2 linked regions of the Arabidopsis thaliana genome follow. The protein of the gene in region 2 interacts with the protein of the main gene of each other region in a pairwise test. Each region holds a gene or a part of one and is shown on either strand. Other genes may lie near its edges.

Region 1 (9,603 bases), on a different chromosome or scaffold from region 2:
AATTTCTCAATCTTCCTGTCTGCTAGTCTTTTTGAGGTTGTCTGCAACAATTTTTAAAATCAACCCTATTCAGTAATACACATTGGTAATGGTTCTCTCCAGATCAACCATATTACTAAAATCAGAATCTCTTTCGTTTACACTCACCAAAGTATTTAATCTGGGCAAAGCCAGGGTAAGATTTGGCCATGCATTTTAAATCAAGAAACAATACATACTATCAAGACAAAAACTCAGCTAATTTGAATAACTACATTTCGAAAACAGATTCAAACTTTTTCGCATCTGTTAGATACAATTCTTTTGGCGTGATGCGAAATTGCCCGTGATTCAACAATATTCAAACATAGATTAAATCATTGATAAGACGATCAAATCCTCAAAATAATGAATTTCACATACTGAATCTGTGAATCAGATCGGAGGTACAAAACACAATTCTAGCTAATATAACATGAATACCGATAATAAGAAACAATCGAGATCGCGGGCTATACCATGATTACACCGGAGAAGAAGCGAAGAATTTCTTTTCTCCTTAGTCTTTGCGCTTTCGTTTTTTTTTTTTTTTTGGTTTGACTAAATTTGTCTTGCTGGTTTCAAAATTATTCTGTCACGGACCTTAAAAGGGATCGGGTACTGCAACTCACCGTGAACGTCGTCACAACCATTCTATGATTGGTTATTGAGACGTATGATGTCCACGTGGCGGTCAGTGATTGGATTCCGATTATTGAAATGCTTGAGAAAAGCCCTCTCATGTTGATGTGGTGGACAAAAATGTGACCTAAAGGTCAATCTGAAAATCTCACGGACGTGTTTAAAAGTCAAACAACCACACTCACGTTTTGGGGTCCACGTTTCTATAGTTCTTCTACGTGAATTTAGTTGGACACAAAACACAACTATTTGAAGACATTCGGTTCTGTTTCTTGATTCGGTCCGATCATTTGGTTTTGGTTCCAATATGCATTGTACGTAAAGAAGGGGAAGAGAAAGTAAAAGCTATCTTCAACTTTATATCACAAAGCCAGTGTATGTATAAGTAGTAATGTCCACTTCCCTATCTTGGACCATGATGATAACAAAGAAACTGCAGCACTGTTCTCTAATACAAGAAGAAATATCCTAAATCATGCACACACACTTTTACACACATACTATGATGCTCTCTTCCCTGTCCAAAGCAACTCTGAATATATTCCAGCTGCTACTCTCATCTACATACCACAAGTTTTGTTGTCTCAATCAGACCAGAGAAAAATGTAGAAAAAAAATTTACAGGAGAAAGTACTGGTCCTAAGTTCTTGGCCTGGTCACACCGGCCTTTCTATATACACTCTTTTTGCAATCGTCAATCTGTTTTTCCTATAAACAAGTTCACATAAGGCGTTACTGTCAGTTGAGAAGACATGTTTTTAGGTGAGTAAATATATAGAGAGGAGGAATATAGGCGGCTTACTACTACTTCAAGATGCATAGGAGACACGAGTTTTTGTGTTTCCTTCGCTGTTCTTCTTCCAGCCCCATCTCCTCTTATGATTCTGTATCTGAAGGCGAATTGAAAAAGCGAGAAACTTCCCTGTACAGCTGCTCTGCTTCAAATGGTTTTGATACATACCCATCCATTCCACACTTCAGACATTCCTCATGCGTTGCTTGGATCACATCTGCCGTCATTGCTAATACCGGAAGATGCCAGCTTGTTTTGTTACCGTTCTCTACTATCAAAGCCTCCCCATTCTTTATTCTCTTGTTCATCTCCTCTTCCATATCTCGTATTCTCCTTGTAGCTTCAAATCTGCAGAAAGACAGGGCAGAAAAACATTTCAATTTTCTTATTACATATTTCGAACTTTTCAAAAAAACTAGTATACCAATCAGGCATACCCATCCATTTCTGGCATCTGAATGTCCATGAAGCAAGCATCAAACTCGTGAGGTGGCTTAAGCAATGAGATTGCCTTTATCCCACTCTCAGCGCAGACCACATCAGCTCCGTACTTTTTCAGAGCTCCCGCTGCCACTCTGAGGTTTACGTTGTTATCATCCACGATTAAAATTTTTCTACCAAGGAGAAGATTCCTGAGAATCAAAGCAGGAGGTCCCTTGTGTTGAGGTGGTTCTCTGATTCCAATACCCAATCCCCTCTGCAAAGTTGCTGCTAGCATACTCGCCCTCAATGGTTTCACTATCACTATTGGAGGATCTATACCGGTGCATAAAGCCTCTGATATTGACGATTCTACTGAGTTTGCTAACAAAATCAACTTAGGAGAAAGGAAAAGAGGGTCTTTCTGTAGCTTTTTAATGAAATCATCTGCTTCCCTATTCCATATTTCTTGCTCTATGAGTATCATATTCACAGTGGTAGTACCAATCTTCAGATAATGTAGAGCCTGTTCAACACGTGGAACTACTTCGACTCGAATTCCAAGACGCTGAAAATGGTACCACGAGACTTTTGCCCTTGCAGGCCTATGGTCCACAACCACAGCTTTCATGCCCCGGAATTCCGAGAATATGGGCTGGTTGTTGTCATTCTTTCTTTCAGCTGGTTGCATCCCATTGGAAAATACAGCAGTAAATGTGAATGTGGACCCAACCTTGGGAGTACTCGAGAATCCAATTTCTCCCTTCATCAGTCCAACTAGACATTTGCTTATGCTAAGTCCAATTCCTGTGCCTCCATGCGTCCTGGATATGGATGGTCCGACTTGCATGAAAGGCGTAAAAATACGGGACTGCGCTTCTACAGGGATCCCTACGCCAGTATCCTCAACTGAGACGATTAGGTTTATATCAGGGGGAGATGGTTCAAAGCTCCGATGCCCGTTGGAGCTGAAAGCTTTAAAGTTTTCCCAGCTCCTCTGCCGGTCTGCAACTGGAAGCCCACTCAGTGTACTTTCCGGAGATGATGCTGTCTCTCCATCGATAGATTCAAATAGCTCATCCACCAAATGAACAGTTACAAAGATGTGTCCTTTCTCAGTGAACTGCCAGAATATATATAAATGATCAGCTCCGTTGATCAACTCGGATGCAAGGAATGGTCAGAAAAAAACATAATAAAAAAGTTTACCTTAATGGAATTACCCATAAGATTTGTGAGTATTTGTCGAAACCTCCCAGGATCACCAATTAACATATCTGGAACACGATCAGATATGTATACTGCCAACTGCGTTCATCAGCAACACTCAAAAAATCAGTAAGAAAGACTTGCTATCAGTTACAACCCTTGCTTTGCAGATCATATAGTAAGTTACCTCCACCCCCTTTTGTTGGGACTTGCTAGAGAAGAGTGACAGGACATCATCTAATATTCCTCTCAAATCAAACCGCACCTCCTCAAGTTCAAGCTTTCCAGATTCAATCTTTGCTTGGTCCAAAACCTCATTTATTAGCGAGACTAAAGCTTTTCCACTTGCCTGTGCGGTCCTAACATAATCCTGTTGCGTAACATCTAACTCTGTGTCCATAAGCATATGCAACATTCCTACACCCCAGATCAAAGTCAACATGAGAATATTTGGTTAAGTTTGTTCTTCAGAAAATATTCATGGGCATAGGTGAGAGAAGGAGGCAACATAGTGGCCATTTCGATACTCACCTAGAACACCATTCATTGGAGTTCTGATTTCATGTGAAACAGTGGCAAGGAACTGCATAAAAAAAAGTTAGATTACAACTCTTCTCTCTGTCATAGAAAGTTTAATATGCTGTGGAAATTTATCAACTGAGGATGATGTATTTACCTGTGACTTTGCAACATCTGCTGCTTCAGCCTTTTTCTTGAGCTGCTTCATTTTATCACAATCTTCTTCAACTTTGTGTATTCGACTAACGGTTGCGTGGATTATATGTGCAACAAGTAACGCAATCACAAGGATACCGAATGATGTCACCATTGATAGCACTGGCCATGGTGGTTTCTGCTTAAATCTACAAAGAGGAAGAAGCTCACAACAAAATGTTAGCACCTGGATTCTTGCAAACAAGAAGAAATTACAGACATATGTATGTGCCAACTGCAAGTACCTGCAACGCATCTCATGCTTTCTCAATGGATCGCCAAAGATTAGTGGACTAACACGTTCCAACCCATCAGCCGACACATTTGTACCATACATGCTAATCGGTTGAGAGTGATTGGTGATATCGTACACATTGACAAGAATCGTTTGCTTGCTAGCCAGCTGTTGAAGCAAGTTTTCTACCAGGGACTCAATGTCAAACACTCCCCCGAGATACCTTCAGGGGCATCAAAAGAGATGAATGAGCAAAAATAATGTTGTAAAACTTATGCGTTATTATTTATTTAGACGCCTATGCTACACACCCGTTAGTAGCCTCAATTCTCTCTTTTGGCGTTGCATTGGAGGGGAGATCTCTCTTGTACACTGCAAATGTCAGGATCACCCCAAGTCTATTTGTCTTTATCAATGGGAAAGGAGCTGTCAAAACCCCTTTACCTGAACTCCTGGCCCGCAAAACGTTTTCACGATCTTCCTATCAAGAGGAATTGAGTGAGAATAAGTATCAGTTAAAACAGTGCTCTAAACTTTAAATAAAATGATCAAAACAACTTAATCGGTAAGCCGAGATTGAAATATGAACTAGCCATGTCGGCAGGATTCGCCCGGTAGTGAGTGTAGACCATGATAGTAAATTACATAAAAACAGTAAAATTAGAACCAGTAAAGAAGCTTACTTTCCCAGACAGCATATCGAGAGAAACAACGTGAGAAACAGTGTCCTGAGCAAAGATGACTGGAGCGTACTCTTCTTGGACAGGGGATGGTTCCAAAGCTTCCAGGTCATAGTCATCCTTGTGAACTGGGTTTTGTTCAAGAGAATACATCTTCCTAATAGTCCAACCTTGTTGCCTCTCGAACTCTTCCCTCTCTGAATGGAGCACCCTCATAGCATAAGCTACCCCGCTAGTAAGAGGCCTCTCAAAGGAAGTTCTATCAGTGTACTCTGAGAATGTTCTCTACACAAAGCTTCTTAATGTTAGTTACTGTTCACTAATACTCAAGAAGATAGGAATCAAGCTACCAAGTGTTAGCTAAATACAAAGACTGTAAGCAACAATCAGCAAAATTGTAAATCCTAACTGAAATTCGAGAGCAAGTTGAATGAAAAAAGCTACCATCATCCAAGGACCGTTCATATACTACACCGTAGGAACAACTTATGTACTACAAGCAAGACTAGATCTCAGGCATCAATCCAAACAGATTAGAAGACAAGAAGATGCGGAATCGAGAATACCTGATCGATAGCAGAAGGAATCTTGCCATGGTGGAAGGTTGAGATCAAGATAGACATGGCTTGAACATGATTCATGCTAACGTTGAACTGATCCTGCAGCATACGAGCTCTCTCATCACACATACTAGCTAGCGTCTCTTTCCTCTTCTCCATAGCTTGCGAGCTAAAGTACCAAAACGTCCAAATAGAGACCAAGACCCAGAAGACAACCCAAACCACCACAAGCTTCCTCCACCACGCCTTGTTGAATTTAACAGAGCCAAGAAACTGATAAGAGAAACTCGGGATCTTGAGTCCGCTGCTAGAGATCTTATTCCAGAACCACATCTTGTTCTTCTTCTTCAACGTAGTCATCTTAGTCTTCTCAAGATCACCGACAGAGCCAACTAAAAGACCAGACTTGTCCTCGATCCCATTATCAACGAACCAAGAAACAAACCAGCAGCATAGCATCCAGAAGAGATGCCCAATCTTGACACCAAACCCTAGCACATGGAACAGACTCATCCACCACTTGAATACACGATCAACCCCCAAGAAACAGAGTGATTGCAACCAGCTCAATTCAACTCAGCAAGAAGCTCTAACAACCAAACAGAAACCATGTACAAAAAGGGACGAATCAGAGAATCAAAAAGGAAGAATTTTTTGGGGTTGGGTATTTAATAATTAATCCTTGTAGGCTTCCCACAAACGAGAAGAGAAAAGGAAAGCTAAGACAGAGGAACGTGTCAGATTAGACAACCCAAAGGCTGAAATTGAGAGATCAAAGTGGTTACTTAATCAAAGATGACGAAAGATAAGAGAGAAGAAAACAAAAACAAAATAAACAAAGGTAGAAACTTTGAACAGGAGCTTAAAGTTTCCAAAGCGAGATTCCTCGAAATCTAAAACAGGAAACTAAAATTCTACAAGGGGAGTACGAAAATTCGCTAGAGCTTGCTCCAATACAACAGAAATCTTTGAGTGTGATGATGATGAGTGAAAGAGAGCGAATAAAGCAACGAGAAGAAGAAGAGGAGCTGGAGACTTGAGTGAATTATCAAATGGAGAAACTTAAGAAAGAGGAGCAGAAGTAGTAGTAGAAGAAGAAGAAGAAGAAGAATCTATCATCGGAAAAGATGAGAAGAATATGGTGGAAGACAAATGTCTGCTTCCTTCTCTCTCTCTCTCTCTCTATTATCTGATTATCTTTCTTTTCTTTTTTCATTCATACTTCCATTAATATATATTTTAATCTTAAGCTGCTTATGTACTCCTAAAAAAAATACAGATAAAATTCAAACACAAAAAATTATATCCTGCTGATGATGATGTTAAAACTCGATTCTAGAAGAAAAATGTTCATAGTTGAGATTCTTTGAGTTTGTTTAGTAAGATCTGATTTTTATAAACAAGTTTAGAACCTCATTAATACTACTATTAATAACACCAAATGATTGGTAAAATAACTTACCTCTATTTATATATAAAAGAAAAAACACTAAACGGCGCAGGCAAAAGAAAAAAAAAGGCTAAAGGGACCCACAAGAAGGGAACAAAGGCATATATGGTCTCAGTTCTCACCCTCCAATAATAAAAATAAAAGGCGTGTTACAATTTATTATTATGAAAATGGTTTTTTTGCAGTAGTTGGTAAAGTGACCAAAATTGTTTGGCCATTTTATCAAAACTAAACTACACAAAAGAATTATACAAGTTAGTTTAACCAAAGCTTCCTTCTTTAGTCAAATAACTCTATATATATAACTCGGTTTGTTTTTTCAATTTCAACATACACTTTCCTTTAAAGAAAAAACAAATGGCTAAAACAAAATACAGAATCATTTATTTTCTTGGTACGTCATCTGTTTTACACGTGTCGATATCTTAAAGCATAATCATTTCATTTTGTTTGCAATTGCTTACATAAATTTATTTTTTTAAAATGGGATTGCTTGAAAGTTGAAACACACCAATCAACGGTTGTTCTCTCACCCATGAATCATGATCCTTTTTCTTCCACCTCGATCTTCCAGATTCAACACATAGACATAGGATTTAACTCATTTTGTTTTAGATCTTTTAGAATTTAAAGGATTACTTTACAAGTTATATTATAAGAGACTTTCTTTTTATTTCACAAAGATAAATGTTTTAAATTTTCTATCCAAAATTAATATTTCATTTCATAATTTTCCATGTTAGTTAAATGCTTTAAAATATTATCTTAGTTATATCAGAATTTGATTAAAAATCTTTAAATGGTGTAGGAATCAAATGAAGTTAGTCAATTTACCAATTGAGCTATACTGTTGATTGTCCCATATATTAACGGGCCCAACTTGAAAAATATAAGGCCCATTTAAAGTATCGTCAAACACTCATTTCAGTATCTCTAGTCTTGGTCCATTCGTATAATTTTTCAGTAAATTATCTAACCCTCTCGATCCTCTCTCGCCTGTTGAAAAAGCACGACGCAAGAGCTAAGGATCAAAAAGGAAGACGAAGAAAGAGATGGATCCAGACGCTGTTGCAAAGGCTTTCGTTGAGCACTACTACTCCACCTTCGATGCAAATCGTCCAGGGTTGGTTTCTCTATACCAAGAAGGATCCATGTTGACCTTCGAAGGCCAGAAGATCCAGGGCTCTCAGAACATCGTCGCTAAGCTCACCGGCCTCCCTTTCCAGCAGTGTAAGCACAACATCACCACCGTCGATTGTCAGCCTTCTGGTCCCGCCGGTGGTATGCTCGTCTTTGTCTCCGGCAATCTTCAGCTCGCTGGTGAACAACACGCTCTCAAGTTCAGCCAGGTTTTTTTTTGCCTTATCTCTTTCCCTTGGGTTTAGATCACTTCGATTTTTAGTGTTTCCTTTGTATTCCTCGCTGTTGATCATGTACGATAGGGTTTTTATCCTTACTGCTCTGTAGATTGATGTGTGTATTAGGTCACTAAAAGCTTCAATGATCTGGAATTGTCTCGAAATTTTAGACCCTCCCTGATGCATTTAGTGATAGATCTGTGATAAGGTTGGAGATAAAAGAGGTTTCCCCCAAATGATTGCGTAGATCAGTAGATGTAATCTTGTGTCATTTAGATTTTGTCTTGTGGAGCTTCTATCTCCTTGCACTTCGTGAATGTAGTATTGGGAAACTGCTTTGCCATGATTCTGCTAGTTTTTTTCAACTATGCTCATATGTGATCTTGTTGTAGTTGTAGATATGCCACCTTCTTGATTAAATTGTCTCAACTCTAAATAGTTTGAGATGCTTGCAGTGTTTGTATCATCTGCCGTAAGACATTGTTTTCTCTTTTTAGTGTTGAACGCTCTTTACTAGATTTGTTCGATAAGAGATGTTTTTGTCATTTTAGTTCTTCATATCAAGGTACTAATTGTGTTTTGTTATCATATTTGTATGAACATCAAACTTGTGGAATGTATGTATAGAGCAAAGTGGGATGAATTTCTGTCAACTTGACCTACTTGTAATGAGCTACGTATGCATCTCTTGTGTTGTGAATCACGCACTGGATCACTATATGATTGTAACATAAATCTGATGACTGCTTGTTGTTTGGATTTTGCCTGATTCCTGACATACTTGTGTTTTGTGTCCAGATGTTCCATTTGATATCGAATCAGGGAAACTACTACGTGTTCAATGACATATTCAGGTTGAACTATGCCTGAGGAATTTGATGCCAGAGGTACATGGAACCATTATTGGAAGCTGAAAAGAGAGTGGTGGAAAGTTTGGGACTATTCAAAAACTGTTTGAGTTGGTTTTAGATTTGGAACATTAAGCTTTGTTTCAGGTGGTTTGCTGTCTGTTTTTATTTTAATCAATGGAGCTATTTGTTACTTTGTTTGAGATGACTCCTTTTGTTTTCGGGCACTGAACCATGATTCAGTAAGGGTAAAACAAAAGATTTTTTGAAATACGGTTCTCTTTTGGAACCCTTTTTCATGTGGAAAAGTTTGAGAAAGCAACTATTCTTTCGCATTTTGATCATATAAAAGTAAACTACTTATACTAAAAGCAAAGAAACAATGAGGGTGACCCCTGTTCCTAAATAACAACTGGTATTATTGAGTCACAAAGGGAAGCTATCATTCTTCATCGTCGAAACCGAATTCTCGCAACAGCTCGGGCACTTGAAGTTGAGGTCCAGTGTGTGATCCATTCCCATGGTTGTTTTGGTCATTGGAGTTGGAAGTCCCCGCAAGTTGGTTCTTGATTGGACGTAACTTACCTTTGAACATTCCATTAAGCATACCTCCGATGGATCTGACTGGGTGGCTTATTCTATCTTTCAACATGAAAATCATGGAGTACTCAGAGAG
Region 2 (8,993 bases):
CAAATATCATGCATGATCATGAATATCTATGTATAAAGACAAATTTTAGGAATTCCAAAATGTAGAAATTCCAAAGTGAATATCTATGAATATTATTTTTGTTAAACCTATAGCTAAATACTTCTTTATTTCGGTAAAACATATAAATATAAGCTCATCATGCTGCATACCCACGTATAAATAAATACATTATTTTTAGTTAAAACATATAAATAAATAGGTATCAGAATCGTCTCAACAACAATATATATATATATATATATATATATATATATATATATATATTGATGTGTTAAGAAAGTAATAGAAATTTAGGAATTCCAAAATATACCTATTAAAAAAATATATTACACTTTGTCAAATAGAAAACGTATATTACTTCTTTATAAAATTGAAATTCTATTCGAATATAAACTATATATACATGTTAAATGATGGTGTATATCTATAATACTTTGGCAAACGTCCGACATTTCTCTTCCTCTCTTTTTTTCTCTCTCTTCCTTCTTTGGGAGGTTATGATTTATGAAGATTGTAAAAAACCAAATGGCTATTTATAGAGAATTCATGTGGACGTGGTGGCTATCCACTTTCTGTAAGATATGTATACATGAAAACGTGGAGAAAGAAAGAGAGATTCGTACGCTTTTGACCCAACGTGATATTGTTTTCAAAATTTTCAATTATATATTGTCAACATTTTCACCTACTTTAGATAGTAGATACACATCCGAGATAGATAAAGGACATGTGACACATGAAAATGTGTGAACAATATAACTATAATATTAATAACTTTTCAGGAAAAAAATGATAATGTTTAATCGGGCAAGTCGTGGGTGGTTTGATTACGGTATGTAGACCGTAGGCTCTCGTGAATTAATCTAGCGTATATTTCTGAAATTGGTGGCCATTTTACGTAAGAAATTATTGCCCTAAGTTTTCTTCCACACAATCTATCTTTTAGTTATACATTTTATATACAAATCATAATATTTTTCCGTGGTGAAGTCTTTCATCTAAAAAAAGTGTTTCGATGTCATGCAGGTCATATATATCTTCTGCCTTTTTTTGTATTGAATATTTTTGTGGAAAGAAAAAAAGACAACCATTCATATATGAATAGTTCAAGTTGACTTTGTTCGTCATAGTTCTATCCACAACCGCATTTGCATTCGCACATTTAAATACTCCAAATGAAGATAAGCTGACTCTGAAACTTTAATTTGAGGATCAATTAACTTAAAAATTGTTATATTATTAAAGAAAATAAAACCTATAGAGAAAAAAGGATTCATTTGAAACGAAGAGGACGAAAACTCTCTTTACACAAATGTTTTTTGCTTTCCATCTTTATATAATAAACATTACAATGCAATGCCACTCTTTAAACCCAAACCTCAGTGTCCGTTCGATGGCCTGAAGTCCCTATAGCCGTTGATTCCAGACAAATTCGGGTTTGATGAATCTAAATCAAAGTAAGAGTAAGTAGCTGTTGCTGATGCTGATACATCGTCTTGGTTCCTCATAGCCGGTAAAGAGAAATCCATATTTGCCATCTGCCATTGCGATTGTGTTTGCCCATTACCATATGGCGAGGAAGAAGCAGAATGTGGCATGTATTCACCGTAAGACTGGTGAAATCCATCATCACTGTAACTCCTAGACCTGCTAGAGATCCCGAGATCCGCACCGCCATGATATGAGTACTGGTTGTTGAACTGTTGTGGTACACGGTATACGCTATTATCCATTGTACCGTGTTCGTCTGCAAGCAGATCATTGATGATATCAAGGTGAGGGAACTCATCGGTCATCAGACTCTGTGCCGTTCTCCCTATCTGAACATTAGTAGGCCTGATGCTGGTAGTTACTACGGGTGCGTTGTAAGTGTTTGTTTTGTGATTCCCGCTGATGGTTGTTGTTGTATCTCTGGTTGAACTCGAACCACCGGTCCACAATAGCCCACCAGAAGAAACATCCCAAGAGCCAACATTGATAGGGAAACCAGACTGATTTGATACTGAGATAGGAGACGGATGTGAATAAGGCGGCAATGTGCTTGTTCCACTCGATTGAGAGCTTGGGTGGGTGAAACCAGATGAACCCACTATGGCATGTTTGTAGGATTGAGGATTGTAAGCTTGGCTATGTGTCGGTGAACCTAAACGCCCTGTTGAGCTCATTGAACGAGCAAGGGACGCAGTCGAGGTTTGAACAGCAGATATTACAGGTGCAGCTTGCGTTGGAGGGATTATAGGAGCACTCAAAGGCCTTGACATAGGAGGTGCTGGTTGTTCCACAGGTTTCGGAGAAGCGATTTTCTGTATATCAGCTCTAGGACCCACTGTTTGCAACTGAGCTTCACGAGATGGTGATGCATGATGTGATGAAGGTGATTTAACAGATATGACTTTCCTGTTTGGAACCGCCTCTACATTTGAAACACCCTTTTTCTCCGGTTTTGCTTGCACTGGAGACGGAGGATTCCAAGGAGCAGCTCTGGATGGGGAAAGTACCGCAGCACTTTTCTCTTTCATCTGAATCATGTTGGGATCCTGCAAAATAAGATATAGTCATTCAATGTTGATAAGCATATCACTCTAAAATGGATTGAAAGGTAAACCAACACGAATTCTTTGGAATTTAGCTTCCCTCTTTTATATATATAACTTCCAAGTTCCAACATTGCAACTTCAAAAGGAAAGAGTAAACCACCTTGCTAACAGGACTACGTTCCTTAGGGCTCTCTGGTTTTTGAATGTGGGAGATAACTATGTCAGCTTCACCAACTCTGCGTATATCAGAAGAATGGCTCTGATTTTTAGGGTCAGATGCAAGTCTTGAAGGTTGATGCTCTTTTTCACTGGCTAAACTGTTGGAATCAGATACTTTTCCTGGTTGTATTTTTCCACTGCACATCACAAGGTATGTTATCCGGATGTGGAACAAACAAATAACTTAAAGGAAAGTTCAAAAAAAGTTTACTTACTTGCTAAACCACTTTTGGCTTTGGCAATTTAATACATTCCCTTTGTATGACCCATTGGCTACCCCTGATTGAATCGAGTCATTAGAACAGGTTGAAGAACTATCATCCATTGTGGACAGACCCTTTCTTTCTGCAACTCCATTAGGTATAGAAAAAGAATTGCCTCTTCCTCTGCTAGTGTCTCCTGCAGAAGGAGGATGAACCTCTGAGGCATCCATTTCCCAATGAACAGGACTACTCTCTCTATCTTCTGAATCAAGCTGAAGTATTTCAGCTGAACTATCTACTGAATCAGACACGTCAGAGACATCTCCAAGTGTGTCAGGTTTTTCAGCTGACGATTCTGCTATCGCTCTCACACATTCCTCTTTCTCAATTTCCCTTTCTTCTGTTTGGGTTCTCACCTTGTCTTCTTTCCTCATTTCCTTTCCTTTGTTTTTGTTCTTTTTCTGTTTCGCCTATGAGTTCCAAAACAATAAGAATCTCCATTAGCACCCCAACTAGTCGTTAATGGCATTATCTATTTTGGAAGTAACAGAAGTGTAAGGACGGACCTGTTTCTTCTTAGATTTCTTCTCTTTTTCAGATGCTCCTCTTTTGCCCTTCTGTTCGCTTTCTGCCAGCCACGCTTCCTCTTCTTCACGAATAAGTTCTTCTTGCCTTTTCCATGCAATAGCTTCTTGGTATGCAACTTCAATTTTGTTGCTGCATTTCTCAGAAAGATTGCAGTGCTATACATGAGGTACAGCTAAGAACACAAAGACACACAATACCAGAAGACCAGAAATACAAAATAAACACTATCAGCGGTTTCAGAATAAGATCGTCACGCATGTCTTAGCTTGTAAACAAATTATGTGCTTATGATTCACTTGTATGGAAATTTTAAAGCAAAGGCAAAATTATGCCTGGTGCACCAAATAAAAAAACAAAGAGGAAAAATTATGCCTTATTACCTGAAGATATGTGCAAGAACAAATATCTCCACAGTCCGTCTACCCAATTCAGTTAAACGCCTATCATCACGCTCAACGGCTTCTCTACTGAATTCCTCTCCAGCATTCCCATCCTAGATAAGGACAAGTGCTCATGTTTCAAGCATTTTTACATGTATAACAAAAAGTCAAAAAGCACCACCACACAGGAGAGTAAATCATGAACTTCAATCAATAAAATACAATAACAAAGAAACTAACCTTCGTACGGTTTTGAGAACTCTTTTCCTCTTTTTTAGGCAATGGCTCCAGAGCAGCCTTCTCTAAGAGTAATAACACATCATCAACTAATGCAAACGAATCTTTGTCCACGCTAACAATTGGAGCTGTGGATTCTTCAGTATCCATTAGTCTCGGCCTACTCTCCTTGTTCTTATTTTGGCCTTCAAGAGCCTTCAATCCACTATACAAGGAATCCATCACCAAAGTAGATGTAACTTCCTTCTCGACAAAGAAGTGTTTTACAACTATTTTTAGAATCACATCCATTTTCTCTCGGGACATTCGACGCCTTGAATTTTGGTCCAACCCCATCCAGAAAGCACAGAAGCTGCACCAAGAAATAACAATCACTTCCTTATCATGCAAACACCTCAAACTTTGAAGGAAGATTAGCAAGAAGTAAAAAAAAAAAAAAAAAAGTGCAGTACTACACTAGATTGGAATCAACCCAGTCTCTACAGCTATTTTTGATTTCATTTCTGGAATTTGGAGGAGTTGAGTGTAAAAATGTGGAATACCTTTTCCATTTTGCCTTGTCCTCTATCAACCTACCAAGCTTGCTTCTTTTCTCTTCCACAAACCGCCAGCAAATTTGCTCTACATTTCCCAAATACACCCTAACAAGTTCCTCCCTATATTTATAATGAAGGCAGCGAAAAGGTCGGTCCACTCTCTCTCTGCAAGAATCAATTTACAGAATTATCCACAATGCGACAAATAAAATCAAATAAATTGAAGCGAGCATAAGTTTTGTTGCAATGTGCATATTTGGTCAGGAACGTTTTTAAACACGTGTAGATGTATGTTAATGGGAGGATGTCTGACACATGATGACTTTAGCTAAAACTCAATCTTGCATTTACCTGATCACCTGCACTTGAGCTTTAATTGTAAGACAACCAGAATCATCTATAAACCCTTCCTTCAATTTAGGTAACTCAATAAATTTCTTCCAACCCCAATCATGCTCTTTCTTCCAAAACCGGTGTAACGTATCTGTAAGAAAACCCTGTTCAGTTCGACTGCGTAAATACGATATAAAGAAATCAAAAGATGCAAAATGTAACCTGAATGCTTTGACTTCTTCGGATCTTTATTCGACACAGCTATAGTAAACTGAGCAAAATGACTCCAGCCTGTCTCAAAGATAAACCTAAACGATAAGGTTCCCGGTTTCAAGAGTGTGTAGCTAAATAGACAACACAATATACTCACCTGGAAGAAGCTTTTCATGGTGTGCAACACATAGAAACAAAGAGAGATGGTTGCAAACATCACACCCTTGTGGATAAATTAATATATACCTACACCACCACCACAAGAGGAATATCAAACATTTTGTTAAGGAAAAGTACTCAACAAGGTTTAGTGATCATTCTTACCATTTGTAACCCCCGACTTCAAAAACATCGCCGCGGAGCTCTCGTTTGTTGATATCTGAAAATTTCTCAATCGTCCAAGTATTTTTCCCAAATAGTTGAGATGGTTTTGATCCAAAATCGTCATCATCATCGATGTCCCAATACGGTGGAGATGTAGAAGGAGTTCCATTCTCAACTTGTTCAGAAGAACGCCACTCAGCGATTGCTTCTTCTGATTGACTTCTTTGTCCATTTGAATTCTCTTCCAGTGATGATCTTCCTGCTCCACTATCTTCATTAGTACTCTCTGACATTCCCCTGATTAAGATTTCATCATACTAAATTAGTTAATGAATTCAAATAAGCTCAAAATTACGAATTTATCATAATCATCATCAAAACAAAGAATTATAGCTGAAGTGAATCAAATCTAAATCACAGTCACAGCTCAACAAAGATTCTAAATCAATCACTCACTCACATGAATCAAATCAATACACCAAAAACCTCAAAAACTATATAAGAATTGAGAATAAACCCTAAAAACAAAAAGCAATCTTAGAAACTAATAAAAACAAAAGCTGGAGCTGAGGAAATGCAAGAGAGACAAAATTATTCGATTCAATTAATTGAATTACAGAGAATTTACAAACAGAAAACATTGAAAAAAAATTCGATAAATATTTGAAGAAATCAGCGATCGGAAAACTCAAAAAAAAAACGGCACGAAATTGAAATCGGAGAAGTAAGGAAGAAAGATTTGAAGGAGACGTGTAAACGACGCCGTGTAGATCGAAGCAAACCTGGAGATGATTGAAGAAAGAGCTTGGAGATCGTTAGAATGAGATTTTAATGGAAGCTCGCTCTCTTCAAGATTCTAGAGAGAGAGATAAAAAAAGAGACGGAAGAGAGAGAAATGGAGAGATTGTAAGAAAGAAGAAAAAACACAGCGAAACAGAGAGAACAAATTTTAACCTTAAATTTAATTTGTTTTAATAGTTATTTTTTCATTCATGACATATTTATATATAACGTTCATGTTTTCATTTCTGCTCTGTTCTTTTTTTATCCATTTTGTATTACAAGAGAAAGAGATGAAATCATCAATATGGTAATAAGAAAACTAATGTCTTTTCTTGTCATCAATTAGTTTAATCTATATTTTCATAAAAAGGCAAACGAAAGATTTATTATTTTTTTACTTAAAACTTAAAAGAGAAATTTTATGTATATTTAAAAATATATCCGAGAAAAATTATTTTATATATTAAAGTATTTAACAGAATAACCAAACGAGATATTAGCGTTTTGAAATATGTATATCAAGAGGAAAATATTTTACATATTAAGTATATAACGGAATAAACAAACAAAATTTCTGTTTTTTGTGATCTTTTCTTAATATTCTATGTAAATTTTGCGGAAAATATTTTATATATCAAAATTATCTAACGGAATAAATCTACGAGATATACATATTTTACTTAAGAGAAAACAATTGTTACATTTAAAAAAAATTACATAAATCAAGCGGATAATTATTATGTATACATTAAAAGCATCTAACGGAATAACCAAACGAAATTCATGTTTACTTAAGAAAACAAAATGTTACCTTTTAAAAAAATCCACGTGAATCATGCGGGAAAATATTTTATATATTTCAATTATTTAACGGAATAAAACAAACGAGATATTAACGTTTTACTTAAAAAAAATTTGTCTTTTTTGTCAAGAAGAAAAATAGTTGTTATCTAATGGAATAATCAAACAAAATTCATGTTTTACTATAAAAAAAAAACTATTGTTAACTTTTAAAAAAATTCCACCTGGATCATGCAGAGAAATATCTTATATATTAAAAAATACTTAACTTTGTTTTGTTTTGTTAAAGAGTTTTATTAAAGTACTTAACATACTAAATAAACGGTATATTAATGTTTCACTAAAGAAAAAAAAATTGTTATCTCTTTAAAAAATCGCATAAATGATAGATTACACGAACACTGATTTTATATCAAAGTAATATTTTGAGATTATTAATTTATAAATAACAGATTAGGACTTGTATTTGTGTTGATAAATTATATTTATTTTTTCAAGTTATATATCTGTATTTTGTACCACTATTTTTCATTTTTTGTTTGTCTCATGTCGATGTCTAAACTCTTTTTTAAACACTCTCTCATATTTATTAGACATCTCGATATTAATAAGTATATTTAATAAATAAAAAAATTCAGCAGAAAATTAAAAAATAGTAAATTTGATGTCACCTAATTATGAATTACATGTAAGCTTAGTTACTTTTCCTCTTGAGTTACTTTTATATCATGATAATTAGCTTATTTTAGTGCCTTTTAATGTCTGTATACATAAGTAAATTAATATTTGTAAATATGTATTTTGAGGGGAAAAAAAAATAATTTACAGTCATTGGAATTTGGTAGATTCGAAGGGCTTGAAAGCAAATTACTTGAAATTGAAAGATAAGAACTTTGAATGGGCTATAAGCCGTTCGTAACCCATTATCGTTATAAGCCCATCTAAAGAAATGCCGTATTTGCGTTGACCATTCAAACTGAATGAAAATATTAATTTACAGTCATTGTAATTTGGTAAACTCGTGCTTCATTTACATTAGGTGATCACCATGAGTCCATGACTAATGGTAGACGTAGTTGTGGCGTTCGAGAAAACAAACGGCTAAAAGGAGTCCATGAACAAGTAACCAAACTACAAAAAACGATTTGAAACGGCTAAAAATGAAAATAGAAGCTAATGAACTTATGGTAGAGTAGAACTTAGAACTTACAAGTACATAAGATTCTCAATGTGACCAGGGAAACACAAAATCCTAGGAGCATGTTTACCAATTCCATTGATATGTCTAAACTCATAATCGGCGATTCCATCAATCTCAACCTCAATTCTTCTGATGATACTCTCTCTGACCATATCGAAATAGTAAACAAAAAAGTGCTTAGATGACTTTAAGCATCTAGATACCACTACAACCTCGTTGTTATGACTCTCTCCACTGCACAAAGATAGCTCCTTGTCACAAGGCACAACACAAGTCATGATGCTTGACTATTCTTCTTTCTCAACATCGTGTAGAATCCATACACGCAACTTAGATTCACAATAGGAGTCATAGCTTACACATGCTAATTTTCCTTTGTAATTTGTAAGGGTTGAATAACATGAGATTGCATTATAATCCTCTGGTGCTTGAATAAACATTATCTTCTCGGATCTAATATTAAATCTAGCTATCTTTGTATGTCCAACACCATAGTATATAGCACTATTGATGCAAATCCCACCTTCTAAGTAGGAGTAAGCATCTCCCGAGATCTCGATCTTTCTCCACGACGATGAGTGTGATGTTAGTGATAAAACCAGATGCTCTTGTTCTAT

Evidence for each region.
Region 1: the proteins of AT5G43560 (region 2) and HK3 interact in a two-hybrid assay, tested with the Arabidopsis thaliana proteins (one large-scale study listed by BioGRID).

Annotation. Positions count from the first base shown.
Region 1 is NC_003070.9:9,483,961-9,493,563, reverse strand, and holds HK3 (histidine kinase 3), read right to left. Parts: upstream 6,676-9,603; 5' UTR 5,785-6,675; coding exon 5,278-5,784; intron 4,997-5,277; coding exon 4,715-4,996; intron 4,513-4,714; coding exon 4,343-4,512; intron 4,255-4,342; coding exon 4,042-4,254; intron 3,946-4,041; coding exon 3,759-3,945; intron 3,666-3,758; coding exon 3,614-3,665; intron 3,500-3,613; coding exon 3,270-3,499; intron 3,182-3,269; coding exon 3,083-3,181; intron 2,997-3,082; coding exon 1,891-2,996; intron 1,802-1,890; coding exon 1,537-1,801; 3' UTR 1,463-1,536; intron 1,369-1,462; 3' UTR 932-1,368; downstream 1-931. Other genes in the region: AT1G27330 (Ribosome associated membrane protein RAMP4), read right to left, coding at 1-41, 498-500; NTF2A (nuclear transport factor 2A), read left to right, coding at 7,774-8,070, 8,878-8,949; AT1G27300 (uncharacterized protein), read right to left, coding at 9,370-9,603. UniProt on the Arabidopsis thaliana protein: Cytokinins (CK) receptor related to bacterial two-component regulators. Functions as a histidine kinase and transmits the stress signal to a downstream MAPK cascade.
Region 2 is NC_003076.8:17,497,934-17,506,926, reverse strand, and holds AT5G43560 (TRAF-like superfamily protein), read right to left. Parts: upstream 6,552-8,993; 5' UTR 6,374-6,551; exon of another isoform or gene 5,889-6,373; 5' UTR 5,885-5,888; coding exon 5,592-5,884; intron 5,514-5,591; coding exon 5,425-5,513; intron 5,346-5,424; coding exon 5,277-5,345; intron 5,206-5,276; coding exon 5,073-5,205; intron 4,887-5,072; coding exon 4,728-4,886; intron 4,538-4,727; coding exon 4,189-4,537; intron 4,062-4,188; coding exon 3,949-4,061; intron 3,698-3,948; coding exon 3,547-3,697; intron 3,451-3,546; coding exon 2,993-3,450; intron 2,915-2,992; coding exon 2,719-2,914; intron 2,559-2,718; coding exon 1,401-2,558; 3' UTR 1,214-1,400; downstream 1-1,213. Other genes in the region: AT5G43570 (Serine protease inhibitor, potato inhibitor I-type family protein), read right to left, coding at 425-473; AT5G43550 (F-box associated ubiquitination effector family protein), read right to left, coding at 8,664-8,993. UniProt on the Arabidopsis thaliana protein: Functions redundantly with TRAF1B in the regulation of plant immune response. Contributes to the turnover of the nucleotide-binding domain and leucine-rich repeat-containing (NB-LRR) immune receptors SNC1 and RPS2.